Linked DNA regions of Saccharomyces cerevisiae S288C. The protein of the gene in region 2 binds, or shares a complex with, the protein of the main gene of each other region. Each region holds a gene or a part of one and is shown on either strand. Other genes may lie near its edges.

Region 1 (2,907 bases), on a different chromosome or scaffold from region 2:
CATACGTTGCGACGATCTTACTAATATTGGATGCTTCAACACTATAGATAATATAGTCGCTTTGCCTGGATACCAAATGACCATTTTTCACCAGTTCGAATTTAGCTGAGGCATATTTTTCTTTCAGTTCATCATAATATTCTTCCCTATCACAACATATAACACCCCATCCAGCATCTGTAAATTTATTAGCGTATAATAGGCCCATATCACCCAGACCAATTATACCAATGACTTTTGTGGCTTTCCATTGCTCAATCTTATCCTCTGATACCATGTTTATCAAGTGGATATGCTGTCCTCTTTCCTTCAAGTGCTACGGTATTCTTGTAATTCTAAAAACTTTTCTTGGTTTGAATAATTCCAGTATCACTTTCTTCAAAGCTTATTTTCATATAAGGCCTCAAAAAAAAAAAAAAAAAATGACACATAGCTGAAGTGATAAACTTACTACACTGGTATAACGCTTATTAGAGGAAATCTAATAATAAACTGTTAGCTATAAATAGTATACAATAACAATGAGCGCTAAAAGTATGACATATTAAACATAAATACGCAATTCTACACCGCTTACAGCCCTTTTCTTTAGTTGGGTTTCTTTATCGTCATCTTCAACATCACTTTCCATGTCGATATCAGCTTGGCCTTCAGTTATTACTTCATCAAGAACTTCTATAGTTTTAGTGTAAACCTCTATTTTCTTGTTCTTCTGATCTTGAAAATGACAACCTAATGCCAGTGTCTTTTCTACAGCTTTACCCATACCCAAAACCGCAACATAGGATGATCCTTGCTTATGAACGCTATCGAGAAACTTATTTATTCTTTTCAGTGCACTAACGTATGGTGTTGTAGACTTAACGAAAATTGTTGTGTGTATTTGCTTATGCGTTAGAGTTTTCAAAGATGGGTGTTTCGTTACTCGTTTGGTAGATTTGTTGTGTGTATTCTTTTTGAGTGCCATCCTGGGTGCAGAGTTCTCTTTTCTTCTTTGACCGTCAATCTTATTGCTTATTTCTGAATAGTTAAGTAGCTCTTTACAGAGAGTGAAATTAAACAAATGGTCAAACAATCGCAGGAAAAAAATGAAGAAAAAACATTTTTTCGAAATGACATGAGAAGACTATTGATGTACTTCTCATGATTATTCAACCATATTGAGCTGGACAGATTTTTACCAAATTGATTTGGGAATTTTAGACATTATTGTTGTCATACCATTTTCATATTCAATTCAACAGCCTGGTGGGGAAGTAAAGAAATTATCCCCGAAACAAATACCCTTTTATGCTTATTTCCAAGAATTACTGGAACACCAACTGCAAGGGTAAACAGAATTGATGAAGAAGGTGCAATCACTCGAAACTACTTCATACTTTCTCTTTTCTTTCATTGATCTTAATTTAGTTCAGTGGACATCATTTTGCTAATTTCAAGGAAAGAAATGGACACAAATTCTAAAACCAAAGTACAAACTGAAAATAAAAAAATTAAGGCGAAATTTATACATAATCATGGGCAAAAGCCCTCTCTTATCCAAATTACACCTCCAATGATTTCCAGCACTCTGTTTCACGCATATCCACTACTACTAATATTCGACAATGCCTTAGCGAATATAATGTGGCTGTCCGACGATAAATGTTTAACATTCATTTATCTAACGAGCATATGGCTGACCATAAGTTTTTTTATCCCCGTTGAAACAGAGGCTAGCCATTTTCTGCCATTTACAAAGATTTTGAGACTATGGTTAGGCATTATAAGCGGGGCATTTCTATTCTTATCATTCATGTATTATATTGTTTCATTGATAGCTTCGTTAAGAGACACGGAACCTCCTACATTGGATGAAATTGTCGTGCTACTAGAGTCTGTGTTGGATAAACTGGAAGTACTGAGAAACGAGCTGAATGTTTGGAAAAAATTAAAGCTTTCATTTGATGGCGTCAATAAGGAGTGTTCTGGCAAGAGGTTGTTTTGCAGATTATTCTTATTCGGTACAATTTTTCAAATTATTATCATGAGATACATATCACCGGGAACTTATACTAGATTTTTTATTATTACCGGCTTGATATACAATACGAGTAGTTTTCAAGCTACCTTAAGGCTACTTTGGAGGTTTACTGCTGTTAGGAATTTCTATTATTTGGGGATTGAAAGTTTTAAAATTTCGAGTTTCTTACCAAAACACTTAAAGATGGAACAAATTATTCCTTTATCTCAAGGACGTGCAATCACGGTGCCACTGGTAGAGGTATTGCCTAAACTACTTCGGGACAAGAAGGGTGATGACCACATTCATATTCTACAGCTTCTACTTAATGAGCAAAAAGATAACTTTGGTAATGAAGACCTTAAAATACTAGAAATTGAAGTATACGAAAATCAAAGAAGGTGGTATCAAAATAAAAATTGGAGTACAAAATTACTGCCGTACGAAAGACAAAACTACTGCATAGAAATTAAAAACACTGATGGAACTTTAACCATGAGGAGTTGTTTGCCCCCAGATGGACTTGGTGAAGAAGAATTACCCAATAATTGGCATTGGATCAATGATAATTGGGACGGAACTGATTGGATATATTCAGATTCAGCATGGAAAGAAATTGGACAATACAGTTCTTTGGAAAGTTTTACCAGGTCAAGAAAATGGAAACGACGCCTCTTCCATTTGTAATAGTATTGCTTTAAGCCTCTAAACTGCATATATAGTTGGTTGCCTAACATTATCATGATATGAAGAATTTTCTCATACTTTGAAACATAGGACAAGTAAAACTTTATAAGATCATGTGCACTTTGTGTATGTTATTTCATAATTTTCATTAAATTCTTATAACGGCTTATGTAGAAATAATTATCATTTTTATAATAGAAGATTGAATATAGAGGTAA
Region 2 (2,899 bases):
AGACTCGTCATGCATAAACTCTGGAATTTCTAGTTTCCCGTCCGCAAGTATGCCGTCATCATCCTCGTCGTCCTTATTAGTATCCAAATTTGTCACTTTGACGTTCATCGACAACTGTAAGTCAAAGTAGCAAATCGGCTTGCCCTTCCTTTGAGATACGTTGGAGTCACCGGTGATGCTACTCACCTGGGTTAACTCAATTTTGCTCTTCCCATCAGAGGAAACAGTGGACAAACTCGTTAATTTACCGTTCAAGTAGTCCTTAGACCAAGGTAAGGTGTTTTTATCCACCCAATGCCAGTTATTTGGATTCAAGACAACCATATTTTATCGTAAATGTGTTGTAACTTTCCGATCGTTTCAAACTTTAGTAGTAGTTTGATGATTTTGTCCAAAAAGTATTTGCTTAAATTTCAGCTTTTTTCTTCTTCATATGTATTTCTTTTTTTCCTCGCTTTCTCTGCCCACTTTTTTCTTCTGTCTTCTAGAAAAATAGGCCTGCGCGGGTAATTTTGTCTACTTTTGCCTCTTCTTCGAGACAATTGGCACTGTAGTTTTCAACAGCTTGACAGATGTGGGCCGATACTTGATAGCATTTAACCAGGGAAACTGAAGCAGATCAACGTTCTTCTGGATCTGCGATACGAATTTCTTGTCGACCCTATCGTCGCACCGCAGCAGCAGCATTCCATATTTAGAAACCGACTTGAAGGTATCCATGGCACTCTTGGGCAACTGCACCAGTTTAACCGTCATGGGCGCCATATAGCATAATAGCGGGATTTGCTGCAAGAGCACAAGCGGTACATCAGGGTCCTTATTGCACACAAATAGACATACTGGGTCGCTGTTTCCGTGAGCGCCGCTCAAATACTGCACAATTTCATTGAAATCTGTATACAGCTCCCAAGGGTAGTTCTCCTTCGATTGAATGTGAATCAACTTATTTATGATAGAGGATTGCAGCAGCTGCCAAATCAATGGCTGATCATGCACGCGCGGCCACATATGTGCTTCGTTTGTGAACGGATTGTCTAGCACGGGCTTATACACCTGCCTTCTTTTAGCTATTTTCTTGTCTAGAGATTTTAACGACCCGGACATGCTACTTACCGTCTTGATTTCCTCACCTTCCTTCTTGTTACAGTCCTCATCTCTATATCACTCATAATCTGAAAAATTTCACTTAAGCACGCAAATGCTATTTTTTACTTATTGCCCGCACGAGAAAATCAGAGAAAATTGAACTATGAGAACGGTATAGATCAGGGAATACATATCTGAGAACAACATCAAATATCCGCCCTGGCAATAGGATGTGCATAATTGCAGTTAAAGAGTGCATCGCATTTCCCCCGATTTTTGTTCTACTGAAAGTATGAACCCTGCTGTCGCGTTGGCCAGAACAGCCAGCTAGACCAATGCACCTTTATCACGTGACTATTACCGGGTAAAGTTACGGACATTTCGCGTTTTTTCCTGTTTTTTTTTTTTTTCGCGGTGCGGTGTTTTGTGGGAATGTGTTTGTTTACGGACTGTTTCGACATTAAGCAGAATGTTTCAACAGTGAGCCATTCTTGATTTGGTCATCTGGGCCCTATCTCCTTTTACTATGAATTTGCATATGTTTGTATGTTGTGATCTAGCACTTCTCCCAGAAGTGCATTTACAGCAGGTTTTTTGTTTCGTTTTATAACACTCTGTTTCGGTCTTTCTTTTTAAGATTGTCAGGGAAAAGAGTTCCAGCGACTGCTTTATACCTGTCCTCCGTCCTTCGAAGAAATAAAGAGGAGAAACCCTCAACGTAAAACATATAAGCAGTTTTCAAATCATCCACTCGCTTTTTCAATTCTTTACTATTGCTCAGCACGACCAACTATAGCTCAAAGCGTGGCTAGCCTTTGATTTACCATTATTGCTCTTTTTTTACTTTCATTTCTACCTTCGTTTTTCGCCAAAAGAAAACAAATCTAGTGAAAACAAACATTGCTGTTCGGTTATAGGACACGCTTTTTTGTATTTTTACAGACTTTCTGGTTTCTAATTGTTTCTTCTTTGAATTTCTTTTTGACCAACAGCATTATAGAAGTGGAATATGCACCTAGATCTCATACACAAGTCCTTCATCTTAGTGTGGCTCATATATATACGAGCCGCGTTGGCTGACCAATTCACATATAAAGCTTGCTATTCAGCTAGTGATATACGAAAATTGGGGTTGACTTACAAGGGTGTTTACGAGTATCAATCAGTTTCCTACTGTCAAAATGAATGCCCTGGTCAGGCTGTCGTTGCTCTTTTCAACGGTACAGGTTGCTACTGTGGTGGTTCCGTAGCTCAGTTACAGTCTTTGACGCAGGTAGATTCGAGCAAATGTGATGTTTCGTGTGCTGGCTGGCCCTACCAAAATTGTGGTGGTTCTTCTGCCATGAACGTTTATATCAATAACGCTGCTTCTACCGCGGACTCAACTTCATCTACTGCTACCTCAACATCGACAACATCTTCATCAAGCACAAGTGTTAGTTCAAAAACGTCCACGAAATTGGACACGAAAACTTCAACTAGTTCTTCTGCTACGCACTCATCCTCTTCCTCGTCTACAACCTCCACTACCACTTCCTCTTCAGAGACAACTACTTCCTCCTCTTCTTCATCCTCTTCCTCTTCTACGTCTACTACTTCTACTACTTCTACTACCTCTAGTACTACTTCTACTTCTTCTTCTCCTTCCACCACTTCCTCTAGCACTTCTGCCTCTTCCAGTTCAGAAACGTCCTCTACGCAGGCAACTTCTTCATCCACCACATCGACCTCATCCTCAACTTCGACAGCAACGGTCACTTCTACCCCCTCATCGACTTCAATAGGTACTTCCACGCATTACACTACCCGTGTG
Region 3 (2,970 bases), on a different chromosome or scaffold from region 2:
TCTTCATCGGAATCCGTACTAGGTCCATTCATGAATCGTTGCCTTACTTGGAATCCATACAATTTTTCCATTTCCTGATCCTCGTCAATCCAAATGGATTTCATTTGAGGAAGCTCCATCTGTTGCAGCCTCTTTCCTTCAGTCATCCTTTAGAATTTATCACACAATTAATAAGCGAGTATTCAGAGTGAATTATAAACAATAAACAATAGAAATAAGTCTTTCTTAAAAAAAAGTAGTGATAGTCCGTACGAAGATAATTAATTGCAGAATAGTTTTCAATGGTTTCAGCTCTCAGTAAATCCTACAGGTACAATGTAACAGAATATGCCTTGGATCCCCAAATTTTTTTGTCTATTCGTTGTTTTCCTTCTCTATGGAAATCGTCGAAAAATTTCTTTGTTTTTTTTTTCCTTTATTGTTGTTGTCTTTTCGCGAATTCGCGTCGCGATTCGTGGATTGTGATGATAATAGCGATGTCTACTACCCGGGTACGTATTTAATTATCATTTATACATTATATGTTATAGGTTAGCGTATCGTTTTAAGGCTTGTGTCTTTTGGAAGCATGGCCTAATTGTTCAGCATCCATACTCCTTTTCACTACCTTGATGGTCTGGACGTCGTCGATGCCTTGAACATCGTTGACCACGTCATCGCCGTTTCCGCTACCACCACCGGTAACAATGGTCTGTTTGTGGCTCTTATTCCTTAAGCGGCCATTTAGGAGGACGAGTGAAGCTAGGTCTCCCATGGCCTTCGAACACCTATCGCTCGGAAGACCTAAATTCTTGATTAGACTTGTTACTCCTAATATGTTGCGGCACTCAAGTGGTGACATGGCACCACTGCCGATAACAATGCCTCTGGACCTCGAACTCCTGATGACGCTTCTTACATTGGATACGAACTGCCTCCGAGCTTGTACGTCACGCAAAGCATAGCCATAAACAATTTCAAGTTTTACTCCTCTGTTCACACAGCTGCATATGCTTTTATGCTTAAGGAAAGTAGGCAGGCGCGACCCGTACTGAAAGGTCAACAAGTCAATATCCAGATTGGTAGTTGATAAAGTAAGGCCCTTTTCACTGATTGGCAATGCTGCTACAATATCAAAGGCCTGGCTTATCTTGGAAAGAGACTGTCCCTTCGATGGATCGTCGATAATTAGCGTGATCCTGCTGTATAATTTTAGCCCTGTTCGATCCATCAATTCTCCAAACCTTCTCTTGATATCGATAGGATTTAACAGCTTAACATCGTTGGGGAATTTCTCGCTGTGGTTTACTGTAAAATTTATGGCGATGTGTGTATATCCCAACATATGCAATGTGGATAACGTTTTTATTAAATTGTTGACCGCCTGAGAAGTAACTTTGTCTGCATAGCTGTTCTGTGGCCACGGTACATTCAAATCTACCAGCATTCTCGGTTCTATAATGCTTTCACTTTTGTTTTTTGTGTCTGTTTAGGTTAAGTATTTTCTACTGGTAAAATGAAATTTTTTCATTTATGCGAGGTAAAATTCTGGGCATCGCACATACATTTTTCATGTTTTCTGGTAGTAGTAACAAAAGAGAGGCACTTGACAAATTAATCTGCCTTCAGACTGTTAAGGTTCGCTCGAATAAAGCATTAAGAGTGTATATATATCAGTATTTATAAATGTATATGTTCTGGCTGATATCCGCGCATTTTCAGTCCTTTCTCCAGTCACCATTGATACTTCTCGACCTGTTCAATGCTAATCTCATAGTGGCCAATTCTCCGATAGTTTTATTAACCTTGCAGCAGTTTGGGTCTAGATTTAAGTTATCAGCCAATTTGACGACATAGCCATTGATATACTCAATTTCAATGTCTCTTAAGAACAAAGTGTCTTGTCTCATTGAACTACTGTTCCTAGAATTGATGTCACAGCCAATTCTAGTGACTTCGGAGACCATGTTATCGGTTGTCAGTACTGCATTGACATCCATTTCTGGGTATTCTTCATTACCGCTGTATTTTTCGTGGTATTGAAACAATGGCCTATAAGCAACTCTCAATATTTGTAAACACTCGTCAATAATAGATGTGAAAACTGGACCGCAACTGGCCTTCATCTCACCATTGACACAATCTAGAATAGCCGTAACTGGATTCATGCATGCATTAACCAAAAATTTAAATAATTGACCAAAGAGCATTTCTTGATAAGTGGAATGTTCTATTCCAAATTCCTTGGCAAATTTTGGTTCTGTTAATAATTTTACTAATGAGTTATTGGCTGCATCGTCCTCGACTACGGATTTTTTTTGAATCATTTCTTCCTCAGTCCAAGGCAATTTGGCAATTTTCATACCAGCCCACCCAGCATGATTGAAAACTCCTGCTTTATCCTGATAAACGCCATGAGAAATGACACCCTGAAATAAATGTGGTCTGTTTTTTGAATCTGTAAAGATTTCTTCTCTCAATAGTTCTAAAACGCCCAGTCCATTCTGAATCAAAATTAAGTTTGTATTTTTATTAATATAAGGCAAATAAGGAGCTAGTGCTTCTTTGGTTTGGTAAGTCTTTGTAGTGACGACTAAGTTGTCAATAGGTTTTTTAGAGAAAGTTTCAGGGCATTCGCATTTCTCCACTGGATAAGAAAATATTGGCGAGCCTTCCAAATAAAGTTTGCGAATCGAAATGTTGTTCCCATTTGTCTTCTGAAATTGTGCAAGTCTTTCTTGTGATCTAAATAAGGGCACAACTAGGGCATTGGTAAATCTTAAAAGGTCAACTGCCAAAACGGTACCCATGGCACCCAACCCAAGAATATGAATAGTACTTCTGTGTGGTGCAGTCATATTGTACAGACTTTATCGTATACGTATATTATCGATTTCTCCTATCGATCGTAACATACAAAGGTGAGTATAAAGTATCTTGTTTTTTTAATATATTTGTATTAAGCTGAATGGCACGATAAGCCTTTCTCGA

The links. Proteins that work in one complex are often made in the same cells at the same time.
Region 1: POP3 (region 2) and POP7 share a complex: the UniProt entries of both Saccharomyces cerevisiae proteins name them as parts of the nuclear RNase P and RNase MRP complex.
Region 3: POP3 (region 2) and RPP1 share a complex: the UniProt entries of both Saccharomyces cerevisiae proteins name them as parts of the nuclear RNase P and RNase MRP complex.

The regions. Positions count from the first base shown.
Region 1 is NC_001134.8:570,924-573,830, forward strand, and holds POP7 (ribonuclease P/MRP protein subunit POP7), read right to left. Parts: upstream 968-2,907; coding exon 545-967; downstream 1-544. Other genes in the region: TYR1 (prephenate dehydrogenase (NADP(+))), read right to left, coding at 1-277; PEX32 (Pex32p), read left to right, coding at 1,448-2,689. UniProt on the Saccharomyces cerevisiae protein: Component of ribonuclease P, a protein complex that generates mature tRNA molecules by cleaving their 5'-ends. Also a component of RNase MRP, which cleaves pre-rRNA sequences.
Region 2 is NC_001146.8:105,892-108,790, reverse strand, and holds POP3 (Pop3p), read right to left. Parts: upstream 1,105-2,899; coding exon 517-1,104; downstream 1-516. Other genes in the region: HCH1 (Hch1p), read right to left, coding at 1-324; WSC2 (Wsc2p), read left to right, coding at 2,096-2,899. UniProt on the Saccharomyces cerevisiae protein: Required for processing of 5.8S rRNA (short form) at site A3 and for 5'- and 3'-processing of pre-tRNA.
Region 3 is NC_001140.6:222,333-225,302, forward strand, and holds RPP1 (RNA-binding RNA processing protein RPP1), read right to left. Parts: upstream 1,427-2,970; coding exon 545-1,426; downstream 1-544. Other genes in the region: GIC1 (Gic1p), read right to left, coding at 1-146; 2-dehydropantoate 2-reductase PAN5, read right to left, coding at 1,698-2,837. UniProt on the Saccharomyces cerevisiae protein: Component of ribonuclease P, a protein complex that generates mature tRNA molecules by cleaving their 5'-ends. Also a component of RNase MRP, which cleaves pre-rRNA sequences.